Sus scrofa: one gene and its partners. The protein of the gene in region 1 interacts with the protein of each later gene in a biochemical or structural test. Links are inferred from orthologs where the notes say so. Each region holds a gene or a part of one and is shown in the gene's direction. Other genes may lie near its edges. The genes, in order: YOD1, USP21 and SNCA.

The links.
Region 2: the proteins of YOD1 (region 1) and USP21 form a complex in vitro, tested with the Homo sapiens proteins (2 studies listed by BioGRID, with this or other methods). The link is inferred for Sus scrofa from reciprocal best matches to the Homo sapiens genes YOD1 and USP21.
Region 3: the proteins of YOD1 (region 1) and SNCA form a complex in vitro, tested with the Homo sapiens proteins (2 studies listed by BioGRID, with this or other methods). The link is inferred for Sus scrofa from reciprocal best matches to the Homo sapiens genes YOD1 and SNCA.

The regions. Positions count from the first base shown.
Region 1 is NC_010451.4:67,677,881-67,684,645, reverse strand, and holds the start of YOD1 (ubiquitin thioesterase OTU1), read left to right. Parts: upstream 1-2,924; 5' UTR 2,925-3,345; coding exon of another isoform or gene 3,346-3,396; intron 3,397-3,403; exon of another isoform or gene 3,404-4,163; 5' UTR 4,164-4,518; coding exon 4,519-4,861; intron 4,862-5,861; coding exon 5,862-6,565; 3' UTR 6,566-6,765. Other genes in the region: PFKFB2 (6-phosphofructo-2-kinase/fructose-2,6-bisphosphatase 2), read right to left, coding at 1,419-1,506. UniProt on the Homo sapiens protein: Hydrolase that can remove conjugated ubiquitin from proteins and participates in endoplasmic reticulum-associated degradation (ERAD) for misfolded lumenal proteins.
Region 2 is NC_010446.5:89,288,399-89,294,777, reverse strand, and holds the end of USP21 (ubiquitin carboxyl-terminal hydrolase 21), read left to right. Parts: intron 1-595; 5' UTR 596-616; coding exon 617-1,216; intron 1,217-2,016; coding exon 2,017-2,076; intron 2,077-2,220; coding exon 2,221-2,341; intron 2,342-2,550; coding exon 2,551-2,662; intron 2,663-2,848; coding exon 2,849-3,004; intron 3,005-3,506; coding exon 3,507-3,571; intron 3,572-3,826; coding exon 3,827-3,930; intron 3,931-4,112; coding exon 4,113-4,199; intron 4,200-4,492; coding exon 4,493-4,571; intron 4,572-4,800; coding exon 4,801-4,908; intron 4,909-5,015; coding exon 5,016-5,130; intron 5,131-5,349; coding exon 5,350-5,440; 3' UTR 5,441-5,722; downstream 5,723-6,379. UniProt on the Homo sapiens protein: Deubiquitinates histone H2A, a specific tag for epigenetic transcriptional repression, thereby acting as a coactivator.
Region 3 is NC_010450.4:129,245,326-129,252,279, forward strand, and holds the start of SNCA (alpha-synuclein), read left to right. Parts: upstream 1-2,398; 5' UTR 2,399-2,476; exon of another isoform or gene 2,477-2,600; intron 2,601-3,233; exon of another isoform or gene 3,234-3,961; intron 3,962-4,078; exon of another isoform or gene 4,079-4,100; intron 4,101-4,449; exon of another isoform or gene 4,450-4,773; intron 4,774-4,850; exon of another isoform or gene 4,851-4,943; intron 4,944-5,082; 5' UTR 5,083-5,107; coding exon 5,108-5,228; intron 5,229-6,954. UniProt on the Homo sapiens protein: Neuronal protein that plays several roles in synaptic activity such as regulation of synaptic vesicle trafficking and subsequent neurotransmitter release.

The DNA.
Region 1 (6,765 bases):
GCACTCAAATATCATGCTATGCTAGTTACTTTCCATGGAGTGTTTGCCCTCAGTACCTGGCTTCCAGTCCTGGCACAGAAAGAAGACCCTAATCAAAGAGGTGTCCCCACCCCAACATCACATCCAAACAAGCCTCCCCAGCTACAGCCCAAGCCCCAACAAGCCTCGTCAGCGCCTGGTGAAAAGAGATGATTATCATGAATCATGAGATTGACAAGAGCATGACATCAAGGTTGAGACTTTGGGAAAGCTTTGAACGTGAGATGATGCCAAGTCTCAGGCTGGCTGGCTGTTTCCTCAGCACTGAAGTGAGGCCTGGTAAGGTTCCAAAGGAACCTGGAAGCAGGAACAAGAGTTAGCTTTCCTTGAGATTCTCCCCAAACATCTGGAAACCAACTGCCCGGGACCTTCTGGACTGGGCTATGCATTCTTGGAGTCTAGTCTATTAAGGATGCTTCAGCATACAGATGCATGGGGACAAGAAATGACACCTCAGGAGTTCCCATCGTGGCGCAGTGGTTAACGAAACCATGAGGTTGCGGGTTCGGTCCCTGCCCTTGCTCAGTGGGTTAACGATCTGGTGTTGCCGTGAGCTGCGGTGTAGGTTGCAGATGCGGCTCGGATCCCGAGTTGCTGTGGCTCTGGTGTAGGCTGGTGGCTACGGCTCGGATTAGACCCCTAGCCTGGGAATCTCCATATGCCGTGGAAGCGGCCCAAAGAAATAGCAAAAAGACAAAAAGAAAAAAAAAAGAAAAAAGAAAAAAAGAAATGACACTTCACCTCTCTGCAAACCCACCTGCTGTCTCTGTCTAAAAAAAATGGGCATGGAGATGCTCCTGTGAAACCCATCCCCAGAGGAATGAACCTGCAGGGAAAATAGTTTGCAAAGTATAAAGGTTAACCTGTGAGAAAGTAAGGTGCCCAAGACACGGCGAGAAGTGAAATGTCAAGGCTGATTCCCCTTAGGTCTGTAGAAATGAGTGACTGGTTCCTACCTGCAATTTCTGCAGTGAGCAGCACTCTCACAAAACTTAGCCTAAGCGATAAAGGGAAACCGTTAGCGGGACCAGCCCCAAGTAATCCCTGTACCGGTGCCTCTCTGTCTTACTCACTGCATATACAACAGTGCTTGCTCTTTCAACATCAGTGGAGTGTACAGATACCCCCAGAAGACAGAGATTCAGTTAACAAAAGCAGGAAGAAAATGCTCGGCCACATGGGCAGCCTAGCACCAAAGACAGACATTTCACGGAGTCTACTTGTTTCAGACAGGAAATTCCCCTGATGGCCTTTGTTTTAAATTCCCGTGTCAAAGACTTATTTCTTACTCCCATTGAGCAGCAAAGTCTAGGATTACAACTATATTCCCAAGACAAAAACCTGGGACAAGGCAGCCCTTCCTCTTTCCCACCACTCACAGCATTTCTTCTCTGACATTCGGAGATTTGTTTTGGTTTCATAGCTGTTGTTGTTCTGTTCTGAGGAAGATGCAGGATTCCCAGACATGGCAGCTCTTCAGGGGACCCCTGGAAGGGATAAAAGGGATATAAGGAAGAGAAGGAAGGAGACAACCTTCCAAACACTCAGTGAAGAGGATCAGAGAGGTATAAGTGCAAGAACCCTGGCCCAAGAGTCAAGTCCAGCCTTTTTCCCAGTTAAGAGCTATACGCCCTAATAAGTCATGAATGCCCCTAGCCCTGTGTTTCCTCATCTCTGAAGAGGTGCAGCAGAAGCTTGCATTTATATTGCTGACTTTGGAGTTTACACTCAAATAAATTATCTCCTTCAATCCTCCCAACAATCCTGTAATGAAACAGATTTTGCTACCATTATTACTTCTCCTCATTTTACAGATTGAAAAACTGAGATTAATCAAACTAAGTGGTTCATCCAAGTTCCTTCCTGACTTCAGATTCCAGTTTAAGAATCTGGGGAGAGTAGTGGCAGCAGTTGGGGGTGGGGTGAGTTGCAAATAGATCAAGTCCATTATCATAAAGTAACTGCAGTCCAATGGGAGGATTCAGTCCTGAAAAAAATGAGAAGTGGGAAAAATCTCAAACATATCCCCTGAAGGAAAAACTGTAACTGGACCCAGAGACAGCCCTCACCCGTCACCATTTCTCCTCTGGTGTTCCTACTCTCAAGCCCTTGTCCACACCCTCTCCCCAACGATCCCCTGGGAAACAGTCCATGGAAGAAACACTGGGGAGCAAAGAGGTGGTAAATAACTTCCCCAAGGTCGCCTACAGAATAACGGGTAAGTCCTGATTCGAACTAGTGTGGGAGAGCCCCACGCGTTCTCCCTACAAACCCGGACAAGGACTCGTGAGGAAGGAAGGTCCTACTGCTTCAGGGACCTTGCACTGTACTTCCACTAACCACACAAATCCTGTAACTCACATAAACTGCAGCTTTGAGTTCCTAAACATCCGCACTCCAGGCGACGCCCGGGGGCCCGTACTTCCCCGAAACGACGAGGCTTCATCTTCCCACATCTCAGGGTGCATGCGGCCCCTCCCTCCTCTCGTCCGCCTAGACCCTTCAAGACGCTGTACAGCTGTCGGCCACCCCAAGATCCCTCCTAAGACTCCTCCCGTCTGTGGCCCCAGCACCTACCGGGTAACGCGGCAGACGGGAACCCACAGACTGTGGCCGGTGTCCGGCACACCAGTCGCCGGCAAATCACGTGCCCCCGCCTGGCTCCGCCCACTCCCGCGTTGGTCCTCACCTGGAGAGAATCGTCCACCAATAGAGAGCAAGCAGGCTTCAGGGGGCGGGGCTCAAATTAGAATCACTGACGCTAGCTCCAGAAGGAGGATAGAACTGTGAAGGGGAAAAATCACAAGCTCGCAAGTTTCCCAGCACCGTGGAGGTTGGTTGCATCGTTGCTTGGCAACTAACAGGGCTGGGGGCGGGATTAATAAAAAGTAAGTTTTGTGGGTTTTTTCGTCCTCTCGCGAGAATGAACTAGTAGAAGTCTTGAGAGGGTGACCGGAAAAATCATTGCGGAGATTAACGCTTTTTCCTGAATCCCAGCGGGATCTGTTAGATCTGTAAATTGGGACGTAAGCTTGGAAGGTGTTTGCTAGAGTAAACTACCACAATACATCTTAAGGTGTTTGCATATTCTTGCCTCAGGTCGCGGACACTGTAAACTAAGGAAATCAACAACTCTCACCGCTGAACCAGGAGCTTCCCTGGATCCATGCACATACTTCAGTGGATTTACCATCTTATTTATTCTCCCTCTTACCACTCACACTGTACCATCTGTTATGGTCATCTTGAAGAACCAAAGAGAAAAACTGCTCAAGGAGAAAATTGGGTCATGAAAGATCTGAAAAGATGCAAAGTCTCCATATAACTTATTCAGATCTAGAGGCTTTTACAGTGGAGGTGAGTTTGCACATTCCGAGTGAACTTTTCACAGTTGCCCCCAGGCCCCCTTGATGCTTGATTCTGTTGATAAACTGTCTCTACGCGGGGTAGGCCTTGCTGCTTCGGATTCAGGATGGAAAAAGAACAATGAGTATGGATTTCTTGGAAGAGAGAGAAATTCAGAGGTATTTTTATTCCTCTGTCACCTGGGGGTTAAATTCATCCTTCTGAACAGCTCAAATCATTACCTACTCGTTGAAACTTTTTACAACTCCCAGTATGTTACAGTTGCCTTCTCTGTGCTTATACAACTTGGTTCTAACTATTCAGCAAGTGTTTACAGAGCACTTACTTGGAAGGCACAGTCCTGTGTTTAGGGATACGGGGTTGGAAAAAGTCACACAACCTAGCATTATCACGTTGCTGTGAAATACAGGGGTTGCGTGTCCTTTACACCTCACCGGCTCTCCTGATTACGTGAGTACTTCGCCATAATGAAGTCAGGAATGGAGTCGTCTTGGTATTTGTATAACTAGGGCGAACTGGAATCTGGATGACACACGGTAGCCCTCTTCATTCCTCCTTCTTACACTGCCAGCACCTCCCGAATAGCCCTCGGCCCAGATGCTGACCTCATACTGCGCTTTCTGATGTGGCAAATGGACGTTTTTAAGTTGCAGGCTCATGAAGGTGGAAAGGCCAGTCCCCCGGGTCCCTTAACCTCAATGAGTCAGTGTTTGCTGCAGCCATGCGTCTAATCACGAGTATATGTTTGTCTTTGACAGGTCTTTTTGACTCACTGACCATTCTTGGCATTCGTTTGCCTTCCGAACTATGATCCGGCGTGGTTTGGAAGCCCCAATTTAATAATTTCCGACCTAAGTGCAAGGTTACATTCCAATGTATTAGATTCAGGAACTCCGTTCTCCGCCCTCTTCCCTTGAGCATATATTCTGCCAACGCAGAAGGTGCCTCACTCGTTCTACAGGCAGCAAGACTAGCCGCACTTTAGGAATACGGCTAAATCATCACCCTTTGCCACCTAAAGTAGGGGTGGGTGGGAACTAGTTGTCACTTTAAGAATAGGCTAAGACTGAAGCTGCGGAGTGTCGCGAGAACTATAGCCAGCGACTTCTCGCGATGTTTGGTCCGGCAAAGGGTGGCCATTTTGGAGTCCCGCGGGAGGCTGGTTTCCCCGGCGGCGTCTCCCAACGTGCTGCGGGGACCAAAGCTGGGTCCACGGGTGTCTGGCCTATGGGCGGCCAGAGCGACACGATGTGGCGGCTCCGCTGCAAGGCCAAGGATGGCACACATGTTTTGCAGGGATTGTCCAGCCGTACCCGGGTGCGGGAACTCCAGGGCCAAATTGCCGCCATCACCGGGATTGCCCCCGATTGTCAGCGCATCCTTGTCGGATACCCACCCGAGTGCCTGGATCTCAGCGAAGGGGATACCATTCTGGGGGACTTGCCCATCCAGTCAGGTAAGGGGGATCGAGGCTGGGACCGGGCAGAGTCCTGGGAAGACCAAGAGGGCATGTGGAAACAGTTGAGGTGGCTATGGGTCAGCTGGGGGCTTTGAGGACGAGGACAGGTTAAAAAACAGAACTCTGACGGAGGTCGGGACAAGTGTCTAGCAATTCCTTGACGTTAGGTACAGTTGAAAGAGACAGGGAGGGCCCGATCTCTGACAAGCCCAAAGCTTGGAGTCCCCTTCCCACTGCTTTCTAGTATGTCTGGAAAAGATCTCATTCATTTTGTTTAACCTCTGCGTCCACAAAAGTATTTTTAAAGGTGGAACTTAAATTTTCTGTCCTGATGGCTGTTTTCGTTTAGATCACTGAAAGGTGTCAGCAGGTCTGAAGGATGTAGGATACTTTTTTGCTTTCCTGGTTCATTTTTGCAGTCACCTTCATATATACTTCCTTTGATAGGTGTACTCATTTTAGAGTTTGCTTTGACACATCTACTAAAGTCCTTTTTAAGTTCTAGACAACAGAAGTTATTTCTATCCAATATGAAAGCTTGAACAGCAATATTGATAATTAAAAGCCTTTCCCCTGTTATATCAAGGATCCCTCCCTGTAAACACTAGAGTAGATAATTAAGTTTCAGAAGGAGAGAACCCCCTAGTGGCCTATTCTGTAATAAAAATCTTTTGACGATCTATGCTTGTAAACTGCAGGGAGCAAGCTTAAGAAAATTTTGTTCTTGAAATGGGTCTTTTCAAGTAAATTATAAAGGTGGATACCTCAGGCCCCTTTACTAAATTAAGTGCAACCTAAAACGTTTTTCTCTTTGTTCTGTTTTCATCTTTATGGAGATTTCAGTAAACAAGACGAAACATGTTTGCAAAACTGTATTCTCCCTGCTAACCCCAACTTACACTTTTTAACTCGTGTTTGTAGTTTACAGACTTGGTTAGAGAATACCCATTTCATCTATGATGTCTCTGCAGTTCTGGATTTGTTTTATTTTTGACAGGCGACATGCTGATCGTTGAAGAAGACCAAACCAGACCCAAAACATCACCTGCATTTACAAAACATGGTGCTCCTAGTTACGTCAGGGAACCTTTGCCTGTGCTTACCAGAACAACGGTCCCAGCAGACAACTCTTGCCTCTTTACCAGTGTGTACTATGTTGTTGAAGGAGGAGTCTTGAATCCAGCTTGTGCCCCGGAGATGAGACGCCTCATAGCACAAATCGTAGCAAGTGATCCAGACTTCTATAGTGAGGCAATACTGGGAAAAACAAATCAAGAGTACTGTGACTGGATCAAAAGGGATGATACTTGGGGTGGAGCTATTGAGATATCCATTTTGTCTAAATTTTATCAATGCGAAATATGTGTAGTGGATACACAGACCGTAAGAATTGATCGTTTTGGGGAAGATGCAGGATACACCAAACGGGTCCTGCTTATATATGATGGCATCCACTATGATCCACTTCAGCGTGTCTTCCCTGACCCAGACACCCCTCCTCTGACCATTTTCTCCTCTAATGATGATATTGTTCTTGTACAAGCACTGGAATTAGCAGATGAAGCTAGAAGCAAGAGACAATTTACTGATGTCAACCGCTTCACCCTGAGATGCATGGTATGTCAGAAGGGATTAACTGGACAAGCAGAAGCAAGGGACCATGCCAAGGAGACAGGCCATACCAACTTTGGAGAAGTGTGATCCATGCATGATGAGGATTGAAGCCTACTACCTCACAGATCCAGAAGGCTCTGGGTTTTCCAATAAGCTATTCGTAACCCTCAAGAGTAAAAGGACACAATGCTTGAACCATCATTTTAACCTAAAACCACTAAGACACTGAATTCCTTGTTAAGATTAAAATTAGTGTGCAAGTTTACAGATGTGCGTCTACAGTGGTG
Region 2 (6,379 bases), on another chromosome or scaffold:
GCTGTGGTGGGAGAGGTGCAGAGATTAGAGGTCAGGGAGTTGTTCGTCCTCCCTCCTCGCCGCTACCCCTGAGCCCCAATACCACTTTGGAGCTCAGAGGTGGGGGAGGGAGTGATTGACAAGTCACTCTTTTAGTCTGCTTCGTTTGCAGCCTGGAGGGGCTGGAATCTGAGGATGGAATGCAGTCCTTTGGGCTCTTATACTTGCATCCACACCCCTCTTTGACCAGAGGTCCCAAGTGACCCAGGGCGCATCCCACTTGACTAGCTAGGAATGCGGGACCCTCATGAGTATTTAGATTATGAAGACAGCAGAGATAGGAACTATCTGTTGTTGGCTCTCTCATATTCTGCAGGAAGAGAGTGAGGAATGTGGAAAGAGTCAAAGCCCTGGCTTGCTGTATTCATTCATTCGTTCATTTACTCAGTGCATGTTAAGTATTTACTTTATGCCAAACACTATGCTAGGTATTGGGGATACAATGATTGATATGGTGGACATGGTTCCTGACCTCCATGTATGTAGAAGCTGGTATAGTAGGCTAGGTTCCCTCCTTCCTCCCTTTTCAAATGCTGACCCTCTCTTCTCCTCCCAGGTCCAGCCTGTGGTGTCCACAATGCCCCAGGCTTCTGAGCACCGCCTGGGACGGACCCGAGAGCCACCTCTTAATGTCCAGCCCCGAGTGGGATCCAAGCTACCATTTGCTCCCAGGGCCCGAAGCAAGGAGCGCCGAAACCCAGCCCCTGGGCCGAATCCCATGTTAAGACCTCTGCCTCCCAGGCCAGGTCCCCCTGAGGAACGTCTCAAGAAACTGGAGCTGGGACGGGGACGAACCTCAGGCCCTCGTCCCAGAGGCCCACTTCGGGCAGATCATGGAGTTCCCTTGCCTGGCTCACCACCCCCAACTGTGGCTCTGCCTCTCCCATCCAGGACCAACCTAGCCCGTTCCAAGTCTGTGAGCAGTGGGGACTTGCGTCCAATGGGGATTGCCTTGGGAGGGCACCGTGGCACCGGAGAGCTAGGGGCTGCACTGAGCCGCCTGGCTCTCCGGCCTGAGCCACCCACTTTGAGACGCAGCACCTCTCTCCGCCGCCTTGGGGGCTTTCCTGGGCCACCCACCTTGCTCAGCATACGGACAGAGCCCCCTACTTCCCATGGCTCCTTCCACGTGATATCTGCCCGGCCCTCTGAGCCATTCTACTCCGATGACAAGATGGTGAGGACTTGCCAGCACACATGGCCTTCCATGCTCATGTTCCTTCATGCTTCCAGCTTTCTTGCCATCATGTGGCTTTTCTTTCCCCCTTTTTCCCCAGGTTCATTTTTTTAACCCTTTGTTACAGCAGTTTGGACTCTCTCTCCCTTACTTAAGTGCCCTTGAGCCTCATAGACCCTTTTCAGGGTTGTCTGTGACTCTCCAGCAGGGTGTGCCATTTCATTCCCCAAGGAATTAACTCAACCATTTGGAATTCTTTGGGTCCCCAGGCCCTTACTTCCCCTTTCTGTACCTTCTCTCCTAGGATGCTACCTAAGTCTAATTAATCTCTGGAGCTGAAGAGGGGCGGGTTCAGAACATCTGAGCTAATGTGGTTGCCCATTTCCCGAGCTGAGTGAGCTAGGCTGAGTGCAGTTGGAGCCTTCAGGAGAGGGTGCAGGAAGGGGCCACGGGTGCAGGAGGGGGCCTTGGGGGTAGCAAGGTGGGGGTGGGGAGCAGCTGGGCAACCATGCCAGTGCTTGGGGAGTTGCCCCAGGAGCTGCATCGCCGGCTAGCTGGGCAGAGGAGTAAGTGGGCAACAGGTGGGACAGCCATGGCTGAGTCCGTGGTACACTCAGCTGTGATGGGCTTACTACTCATGGCCAGTGAGGTAGGGAGACCCCAATACCCAGTGAGGGAAAGAGTGTAGCGTTTGGGGGTGAAGGATGGGGTGGGGGAGGCAGTGGACAGCATGCTGTCAAAAGGATTAAAGTGCCAGGTGGGATGTATGGGAACCTGCTGACTGATCTCTGACCTTCCAGGCTCATCACACGTTGCTTCTGGGCTCTGGTCACGTTGGCCTCCGAAATCTGGGGAACACGGTGAGAGCCATTCTCCTGTCCTTCCTAATGGGAATGTGAACTGGTACTGGGGACAGGCATGGGGAAGGAGGGCACTGAAGTTCTCCCAGGGCTTCCTAGGCACTGGTTTGGAGAGATAATGGCAATGTCTCTGCTGCTCCCCAGTGCTTCCTGAATGCTGTGCTACAGTGTTTGAGCAGCACTCGGCCTCTTCGGGACTTCTGTCTGCGAAGGGACTTCCGGCAAGAGGTTCCTGGAGGGGGCCGAGCCCAAGAGCTTACTGAAGGTGGGGCAACAACTCCTGCTTCCTCCTTTCAAATCCTCTTTTTCCCAACCCATTGTAGGTCCATCTGCCAGTGTTGGTGGCCCCAACCCTGAAAGCCAGCAGTTTTGTCTTTTTCACAGTGCCTGCTTTCCTAGAGTTGTTTTCCACCCTCTTGCTTCCCTCTTCCAGTCGTTAACCTTTGTTTCCCTTCCCCACTCCCACCCTAATAGCCTTTGCAGATGTGATTGGTGCCCTGTGGCACCCTGACTCCTGTGAAGCTGTGAATCCTACTCGATTCCGAGCTGTCTTCCAGAAATACGTTCCCTCCTTCTCTGGATACAGGTGGGAGAACTGGAGGGTATGGGATTTCTCTCTGCCCATGTCTGGGGATAGGGCCAAGCAGGGGCCCTGGCAGCATCATTCTGAGCCTTGAGCTCTATCTAGGAAGTGGGGTCAGATGTCTGGGCACGGGTTAGTGACTGTGGACTAGGCAGGGGTCAGTTGCCCACGCTCTTTGTCTGGCTGCAGCCAGCAGGATGCCCAAGAGTTTCTGAAGCTCCTCATGGAGCGGCTACACCTAGAAATCAACCGACGAGGCCGCCGGGCTCCACCAATCCTGGCCAGTAGTCCAGCTCCCTCCCCACCCCGCCGAGGAGGGGCGCTGCTGGAAGAACCTGAGTTAAGGTAAGGTCGCGCCCCCTTTCTCTTGCCCATAGTTTATTAACAGCGTTCATCCTTCGCAGAAGTGAGCTAGTCAGGATTGAGGATGTAGAGTCCAAGGAAATGCTTATCGTAGAATTTGGTTTGAGAAGCAGTGCAGAAGTAGGAAGAAGGCAGGAGGAGGAGGGAGACTGAGGGGCACAGATGGAGGCAGAAGATAGTGCTGTGGCTGTCACCAGATTGACGGAGGAGGGGATAATTAATTTACAAGGTACATAGGGGTTTGAAGCCAGGTGGAGGAAGACGGCATGTTCTTCCCTTGTCTGTGTTCCTTTCTTTTCCTCTCACGTGGATTTCCCCGAAAAGTTCTCTGAAACGTTACTCGTTTGACTCTTCCTTGCAATTTTGAGAAGGAGCTGGGGTATGGGTGGGGTACAGGGCTCCGTGGATCATTTCAGTGGTGTTGGGGGTGCCCAGTGTTCCTGCTGTCTCATGGGTGCTCCCCACTTCCCTTGATCTGTGGTAGTGATGATGACCGAGCCAACCTAATGTGGAAGCGTTACCTGGAGCGAGAGGACAGCAAGATTGTGGGTATGGAACAAGACAAAGTGATGGGGGAAAATTCATGTGTGGGGGTGAAGACTTGGCAGGAAAAAATCAAGACTGTCGAGGGGTCTGGGAATAAGATGATGAAAATGTGGAAAAGTTAAGAGGGGAGAGTTAAGAGGGGAGAGTTGGCGATGGGAAAGAAGGGTCAGGCAAAGGGCTGGGAAGCGACAGGAATGCCAGAAAGCATCTCGGGCATCCCACAGTGACTTTTTCTCCTGCCCCTTTGCTTCTATCTAGACCTGTTTGTGGGCCAGTTGAAAAGTTGTCTCAAGTGCCAGGCCTGTGGGTATCGCTCCACGACCTTCGAGGTTTTTTGTGACCTGTCCCTGCCCATCCCCAAGGTGGGATTCCAGAGGATTCCGGGGGTGGATGGGACATGGGTTCTATGACCCAACCCTACCCACCCCCAGTGTGGGAGGGAACCATGTGGGTCTCTGGAGAAGAATCGAAGCTTGGGTTAATTGAGAAGAGTTGGAAAAGGAAATTCAGAACATGCTGACCCTTCACTCCCCTTTCCCCCCAGAAAGGATTTGCTGGGGGCAAGGTGTCTCTGCGGGATTGTTTCAGCCTTTTCACCAAGGAAGAAGAGCTAGAATCGGAGAATGCCCCAGTATGTGGAGGTTCACAAGGGATATAGTAAGGGTGGGATACCGGAGGTGGGGGAGGCTCCATGTGGGTAAAAGGGGTTGCATGATGCCTTAGTATGAGGAGTAACACTTATATGTAAAGATTTGTGTAGGAGTATTTTTCAGATATGTCCTGATCTGTCAGGGCAAAGGGCAGTGGCCCAGAGAACACAGAAGTAATAGGGAGCACAGTAAATTTATGTGAGTCAGGGTATTGGAAAAGACAACGGAGGTGAGGAGCACATTAACCTTATAACATTATTTGACATTTATTCAGGTGTGTGACCGATGTCGGCAGAAAACACGAAGTACTAAAAAGTTGACAGTACAAAGATTCCCCCGAATCCTCGTGCTCCGTATCCTAATCTTCAAATTCTTATTTCTCCCATTCATTCTTTTTCCTCATTCTCCAAGTTTGCAGAGGCTGGACATTTGGGGATTCGGTTTGCCTTAGGAAAAGGCTGCCACTCCATCTTTCCCTCCTGTGCTCCCAGTGTGTGTTCAGGGAGGGGAGTAGACAACATTCAGTTCCCCAGCCCCCTCAGAGGCCCTCTGCCTCCCAAATTCTCCTTAACCAGAACTTAGATCTTAATCGATTTTCTGCCTCCCGAGGCTCCATTAAGAAAAGTTCAGTAGGTGTAGACTTCCCACTGCAGCGACTGAGCCTAGGGGACTTTGCCAGTGACAAAGCCGGTGAGTCTGGGAAGGAGGGTCCTGAGGAGTTCCATGAAGGGGAGGGAGAGAATGGCGGAGCAGGGCACAGCTCTAACTATAGAATTTGGTCATCTCTAACCCTGAAGGAAGCCCCATATATCAGCTGTATGCCCTTTGCAACCACTCGGGCAGCGTCCACTATGGCCACTACACAGCCCTGTGCCGGTGCCAGACTGGTTGGCATGTCTACAATGACTCTCGGTGAGAACAGCCTTGCCCCATTCCTGCTGCAGCCTTGACACCTTTCCCCAGTATGAAGAAGCCCCAGGAGACAGTGCCTACTGAAAGGAGATGTGGGATTGGGGGTGTGGGGGCGGTGTCTTTCCTAGGCACCACCCGGATACTGTGATGTTGATCTTGTGGGGAGGAGGGTCTATACAGGAAAGATCACACCTCCTTCCCCATCTCCCTTCTTCCTAGTGTCTCCCCTGTCAGTGAAAACCAGGTGGCATCCAGTGAGGGCTACGTGCTGTTCTACCAACTGATGCAGGAGCCACCCCGGTGCCTGTGACCTCCCTTTTAATCCCTGGCACCTGTGAAATCCTTTCAACACCCTTAAGCCCCAGGCTCCCCATTTACCTCAGAGACGTCTATTTTTGTGTCTTTTTAATCGGGGAGGGGGGAGGGGGTGGTTGTACCTCCTATTATTTTTTTTATTAAAAAGTACCCTTCCACCTGGAGGCTCCCTTGTCTCCCAGCCCCATGTACAGAGCTCCCTAGGCCCTGCCCGTGTACAGTCCCCACACCCTCTGCAGTCTCACTTTTTTGTGAATAAATTTATTAAGAAAAAAAATGATGTTCTTTGTATTTGTGCCTAGCGAGTGGAGATATAGAACTGGGCCGAATGGGTAGTTTTCCTGGCACTCAGTTCCCTTTCTAAACGATGGGGGGCGCTCGGAGCCGTGAGGCTGAGGGTGGGGATGGGGATGCAGGATCGGGACGCGTTGATGCCCAAGTTTGCCAAAGCGGTGAAGGTTTACATTGGGAGGAAATGAAGGCTGCAGGGAGGCCTGGATCCAGAGTGCAGGCACTGGGTCGACGGGGTTTGCCGGCGTAGGGGCCTGCCCCGCGAGAGCAAAGCACCCAAGGACCCCTGTTGACAAACACGGTACGTTGCCGGGGCGCCCTAGCTCCCGTAGGCCCAGGCTGTTGCTAACATCAAGGAGCTGTTTATGGAGCCACCTCCCCGGGGACCAGCCTCCAGTGTCCCTGTCTACTCTCCCTACAACCAAGACTCATGAGGACCTTCCTCCAGGGTTCCAACCCTAGCTGGACCTGGCAAACTTGAGCTGGGGAATGTTAACCAGGATTCTGCTCTTGCCGCTCCAGCCCTGAGGGGAGGGCAGTACCGAATATGGCCGCTCTCTCCAACCTGGCACCGAACCGGTTAACCTCCAGCTCCCCGGCCTTCTACAAGGGTTGCCCCACCGCCTCTGAGGGAGGAGGAGTC
Region 3 (6,954 bases), on another chromosome or scaffold:
TGCCTTTTACCAAAATTTTTGGGGCTTTGGATTCCCTGTCTGCAAAAGGTACATAATAAAACTTAACTTTCCCACTTACTATGATTAAATGATACAGTAATTAGTTCTTTGCCAAGCATAAAGTACCACAGAAGGGTGTGGAATCATGCTATGCTACAAGAAGCACAAAAATGCTCAACACCTGCTTCAAAGTAATTCTCTCATTGGTCCGTGTAGGGTATAAGGTATGTCTCACTTTATTCACCCTTTTGACTTCTTAAGGAGGCCCCTGTTAAGCTATAAATATGTCATATAATTGAATATTTAATATTTATATTAAATAACTAGTTGTGATGTGTCACTCAGGAAAACATTTGTTATTGGCAGTAATAAAGGGAAATAATTGAAAGCAATAAAAACACCAACACTACTGGAGTTCCTGTTGCAGCTCAGTGGTAGCAAACCTAGCTAGGATCCATGAGGGCTCAGGTTTGATCCCTGGCCTTGCTCAGTGGGTTAAGGATCCAGCATTGCTGTGAGCTGAAGTGTAGGTTGCAAACGCAGTTTGGATCTCACGTTGCTGTGGCTATGGTACAAGCTGACAACTACAGCTCTGATTGGACCCCTAGCCTGGGAACTTACATATGTCATGGGTGTGGGCCTGGAAAAAAAAAAAGAGAGAGAGAGAGAGAAAGAAAAAGAAACACTACCAGTTCATGCAACAACACAGATGAATATTAGGCTAAGTAAATATAAGTAAAAGAAGCCAGATACCAAAAAAAAAAAAAAGTTCATACTGTATAATTTTATTTTTAAGAAATTCTAGAATATATACAACTTAAAAGGGCACAAGGAAACTTTCTGGGGTGATGAAATGTTTCATGTATTTATTTTTAACGGTGTGGGTTCCACTAATGTATGTCTTTTCCCCTCTCTCTTTTTATTGGAGTTTTTACTGAAGTTTTGTTGAAGTAGAGTTGATTTACAAAGTGGTGATACTTTCTGCTGTACAGCACAGTGATTCAGTTCTACGTGTACACACATTCCATTCCCTTTCAGATGCTTTTCCCAGCATGTATTTTTCAAAACTGTTTTAAGGGAACACTCAAGAGCTGAGCCTATCGCTGTTTATAAATCTTACTTAAAATTGAGAAAAGACCATTGAAATAGTATTGTTTATTTTAAAAGATTTATATTTTATGGATGCAGGGTTAAATATTTACAGATGAAAAGACATATATAATTCTTGGGATTTAGTAAAAATTGGGGGAAGGAGTAGTGATAAATATAGGGAATAGACAAGAATGCAGATGCACGTGGTTGACTGCATTAGAAAACAATGGAAGGAGTTCCCGTCGTGGCGCAGTGGTTAACGAATCCGACTAGGAACCATGAGGTTGCAGGTTCGGTCCCTGCCCTTGCTCAGTGGGTTAACGATCCTGCGTTGCCGTGAGCTGTGGTGTAGGTTGCAGACGCGGCTCGGATCCCGCGTTGCTGTGGCTCTGGCGTAGGCCGGTGGCTACAGCTCCGATTCAACCCCTAGCCTGGGAACCTCCATATGCCACGGGAGCGGCCCAAGAAATAGCAACAACAACAATAACAACAACAACAACAACAAAAAAAAAAAAAAAGAAGAAAGAAAACAGTGGAAGCTGGGTGATATTCCATGGAGAGTCCTTTATTCTATTTTTGTTTTTGTTTTGCTTTTTAGGGGTGCACCCGCAGTATATGGAAGTTCCCAGGCCAGGGGTGGCTGGACCTGTAGCTACTGGCCTATACTACTACTACAGCCACAGCAACACCAGATCCCAGCCCTATCCCTGACCCACACTGCAGCTCATGGCAATGCAGGATCCTGAACCCATTAAGTGAGGCTGGGGATGGAACCCGCATCCCCACGGATACTAGTTGGGTTTGTCACTGCTGAGCCACAACAGGAATTCCTATTCTCTCCATTCTTGTATGTTTGAACATTTCCCATAATAAAAAGTTGAAAAGAGAGGGATCATCTTGGTTCCTCTCCCTTTACAAGAGAAAACTGAACATAACTTGTATTGGCTCTCAAAGCCAAAAAGCAAACCAACTTCCAAGTTTCCTTCCAAGTTCCCCAGGAAACAAAATAGGAGCGTTTTTAGAAAGCCTACTTTTTAAAAGGGCCGACCATCAGTGCAAGGAGTAGGTTAAGCAATATATATACTTGCTTCCCATCTCTTTGGGTTTCAAACTGTTGTTTTTGTAGATTTAAATTACTTTTTACTCACATTCCAGAATGTGAGTCCAAGGATCAGAGAAATTCCCCCCCACACACACACAAATAAACACAAGACAAGCAAAAAAAAAAAAAAAAATCTGCAAAGACCTGTTTTTTCCCCTTCCAGTTCTAAAAGCATCCTCCTATTCCAGGCAAAGCAAGCAGAGGCAGTCTGTTAGGGGGAGGAGCTTGGTTCTCCATTCCGGTGTGATCCAGGAACAGCTGTTTTCCCTCCAGCTCTGAAAGGTGAAACTGTGTCAAGCAATGCAAAAATTGTCTTGAAGCTCGTGCATGTGTATGTCTGTGTGTCTGTGTGTGGGATGGGGTAGCCTGTCAGCCCCGAGGACAACGTGAATCAGTAGTCGGAAAGGTGAGTGGTATGTGGAATCTCTCTTTTCAGAAGGGGCCCATGAAATTGGATATGACGGTTCAGGAGACTCAGTCACTCTGGATTTATCTCTTCCATCCAGGAACAGGAATCTGGAAAGTAAATCCCATTCTGAGAACAAAACGCCTTACAGCCGCTGGGTTTCGACGGCTGGGGAATATTTATTCCTTGATCCACTGATGGGAAAAATCAGCGTCTGGCAGCCGCTGATTGGTGGAAAGAAAATGGTGATAGTGGGGTGGGAAGAGGATTTGACGAGCCTCCTCCTGCCTCCTCAACCTGTAACTCATCCTTACTAGTCGCCTCTCCACCTGCCGGACCACTTCGGGCTCAGGAGAGGTTAAGAACAAACGTTAAATCCGGAGAATAGTTAAACAAAAGCTTCGTTAACATTGTGTCCTAAGGACCCTTCATCCAATTTCAGTGATGCGAGGGAAACCTGCGCTTGGTCCTGATGCGGGTACCTTCCGAAGCTACCTGTCTCCTTTAGCAGCTCCCCGAAAGACTGGCGCTATTTTGGTGGTAGAGCCCTCAGACCCCACTTCCCCGGGCTGGCTCATGACGTGGGGGTCCGCAGGAAAAACCGGGGGGAAAGGCGGAGACTGGGAAGGAGGGGGGATGGGGAGAGAGAAACAGACATCAGACATCAGCCCAAGCCTCAGAGCTCCGGATCGCCGCCAGAGCCCGGGCGCCCCTGAACTTGAGGTGAACCGCCCAACACCCCACCTTCCAGTCTCCCAAGCCCAGGCGGGCGGCTGGCGTTGGAGGTACAGCCTCCCACCACCCCCATCCGAGAAGAGGAGTGAAGTGCACGCGGCGGGGAAAGCAACGCGCGCAGGGAGCGGGGCGGGGAGCGGCGCTGACAAATCCGCTGCGGGGGCGGGGAGCGGAGGAGAAGGAGGAGGAAGACGAGGAGAAGGACCGAGACCACTAGAAGGGGACCCAGGAGAGGGGGCGAGAGACAGAGCGCAGCGACGTGGGGGTGAGGTGTGTGCTGGCTTTGGAGCAGACCCGGGGACCGCGCCTTGCCTTTGGCAGCCTTGGCGCTCTTTCGCCGCCTTCCCTTCCTCCCTTCTTCTGCCTGGAATCCTCTCGTGCGGGGGACGGGGAGTGGCGATTCGACGACAGGTTCGCGGGTTCCCTCCCACGCCCCCAGCCTCTCCCCCCAGGGTTGTGCCGACAGCCGCCTCCGCTGAGGGCCATCCCTCTCCTGGTGCCGCCTCCACCCTTCCTGTGCGCTCCTATCCTCCTCCCTCCCATTTAAATAATATTTAGGAATTGTTTTTAAAATTTTTTAAGTGGGTGCGGGGAGGATCGGAGTTCTCAGGAGCCAAGGGAATCAGGTAAGTACCTGTGAATCTAAGTGGGCAGCTTGGGAAATCTTGGAGAAAACCTGGTGGGAGAAGAGTCATTGCGGCGCCTGGGGGGGGGGGGGGGTTAGTGCTGCGGTGAGGACCTGCCATAGTCGAGTCTCTCTTAGAGGTGGGCACTGACCCCTTTGGTGAGCTTGAGGAAAGTAAATTGACTCGGCTTACCTCTCTTCTCGTCCTCAAAGGCTGAGCGGTCTGGATTCTCCGGGATACGCTTTTCCTTTGGGAAAGTCGAGGATGCTCGAAGGATTATAACTATTCAACTTTTATTTCTTACTTTCCTTAAATCCCCCAGCCCACCCTCTCTGTTCTCTCTGTAAAGTAAGCAAGCTGTATTGGGCAAGCCTTTAAATGGAAGCGCAGAGAGAGCAAGTCAACAGGTGGGAAGGGGTTAACAGGTGCTGGGCGCCGGGTGGGTGGCGGGTTCAGCGGGCTAACTCCACCTCTGGCAGCTGGCGCGCATCCGGAGACTGCCTGCAGGTGTGAACGCTCCTGCTTGCCTGCTCAGGGTAGACAGCTGAAGGTGGGGTACAGCGTCCAGTGGGTGAGAGCCACTGCAGGTGGGCTTGCAGTTGGCCTGGGGTTCAGCCACACCCAGAGTGAGTGGTTCTCTTCCCACCCCTCTTCCTGATCAACCTGTTAGCTGTTTGGGGGATTTATTTTGAGTATCTCTGACCCCCCCTCCTCCAGCTCCTTTTTCCGTTTCCTGTGATCTGTCTTCTAAACGCACTTCTAACTTAACACCTTCATCGTTTGGACCCTGGGAAATTGAAAGGGGGGAGGGGGTAAGTCCTTTCATGTAACTCCACTTGGAATGCGGTGAGAACAACTCAGATGATTCATCCCAATCCATGTTTAGGAGGCTAGACTTCCACCAAACAAGATGGATGGGAGATGCTAAATTTTTAATGCAAAAGCTAAAAAAAGGCTGCTTTGTCCAGTGGTTGAAACAGAGGTACACCTACAAGAGTCCTGCATTTTTTTTGGGGGGGGGCGGGGGAGTCTACTGATCTTTCAGTGATTTTTACCTTGGGTGGTTCTAATTTCGTTTTGTTTTACCCCAAAGTTCTCAAAGTGTATTTTGTGTTCTCCAGTGTGGTGTAAAGGAATTCATTAGCCATGGATGTATTCATGAAAGGACTTTCAAAAGCCAAGGAGGGAGTCGTGGCTGCTGCTGAAAAAACCAAACAGGGTGTGGCAGAAGCAGCGGGAAAGACAAAAGAGGGTGTGCTCTATGTAGGTAGGTAAGCCCTAGATGTCAATTTGAAATTTATTTATGACTGGTGGGTTAGGGTGATTGATGCCTTAAATGCTGGTATTTCTCAGTTTTGCAGCTTCACTTGTCAAAATGATGGTCTGAGTCAGAGGTTTGTGTAGGTAGGTGAATGTTTAAGTTTGAGCTGATAGTAAAAAAGTGGGGCTGTTTTGTTTTTCCAGATTATTTAGCTTTGCAATAACACTTTGTACTTTGTTTCTTTTTTTTTAATGAATCTTTCTATGTGTAAGTAACCATAGTTCTAAGGACAGTTTTTAAAACTCAGTCTTTAAAATATTCTTATTCTTTTTTATTATTTGTTTTAACAAAGCCATAAGCTTTTGATTTCTTCTATCATGATAATATTTGCTAATTTGAGTGCATTCTAATTTAAAAATAAGACTTTGATATGACCTTGAGATACATAAAGAGAGACCTACTGTAGCCCTAAAAAGGAAAGGCAGAAAAAGTCTTTGATGGAGATACTTCTGGTGATGACCTGCTAAGCTGGGGACTCCAGAAAGTACTTGAGGGCTGCCATCTCTGAGCTGTTGATATAGTTCCTTTATCTAATGAGACACACAATAAATTGTGAAATTGATGGTTATCATTTCGACCTGTTTATAAATTCTCATCTTGGAATATTCTTGCAGACCCTCCCTGACTCTCTTTACTTTGAACTGTGTTAGGCTGGAACTTTATAAACCGCTTCACATTCTCTGAGGAAGGAAGGGGCACACACATATAGACACACTCATCCATAGAGATACACACACATACACATGAGGCGTACACTCACCCACTGCCAATTCTGCCTCTCTTCTTTCTCCTCTGAGCTTTTCCATATTTTCTGGTAGCAGCTGTAGCAACAGTAGCCACAGGATGAGCAATAAGGTGGAGGATAAGCTTGTTGCATGACATAGAATACCCTGCCTCTGTCTTTGGGGTGACATAAAGCTACACTATCTCTCCAACATAGATGGGCTGGAGAAAAGTTATGCTTGGAATGATTTTTATTATCCTTCTCATACTATTTTTTTTTCTCGATGGTTATAGATTCTTTTTATGTTGGCTTAATCTAAACCATAAATCTCCAATTAAATTACTTTCTCTCTCAAAACATATTTTTTGCAAATCATTGGATTAAAAGATGTCACAAGAGGGAAGAATTGATCAGTTAATTACAGGTTTTTTTGTGAAGTGTGAATTATACATCTTTTTAGATGGAATTTGGAATACTGAATCATGACATGCAGATAACTAATATCTTTATATTTGTCCCCAGTTTTCCAAGTTGTGCAAGTGCATGCTTATAGCTATTCTTTGATTTCAATTACTTTATAACTTGTAACTTTAAAGATTTTTAGTATGATAATATCCACTTTATTAGTTTTTAATGAGTCCAGAAACTACTACATATTAAATTAGTACATTGCTGTTTTCCCAGTAATAAACAGGACTATCATCTCAGAAACTTTTTGTTCTCATTGTCAACTATGAGTTTGGACAAATAAAATTCTTGTATTTTTTAGAGAGTGATAATCCTGTTATTTGTTTAGAGATTATTATATGAAATTTCAATTTGTTTATGTGTCATATACTTAAAAAATCATCTTCAATGTTTATTATGGTATTTAACACATAGTACATTCTATAAATTATCAGTTATGTTTTAAAGTCAATTAAAAGTTGAATGCAAATATAGGATTCA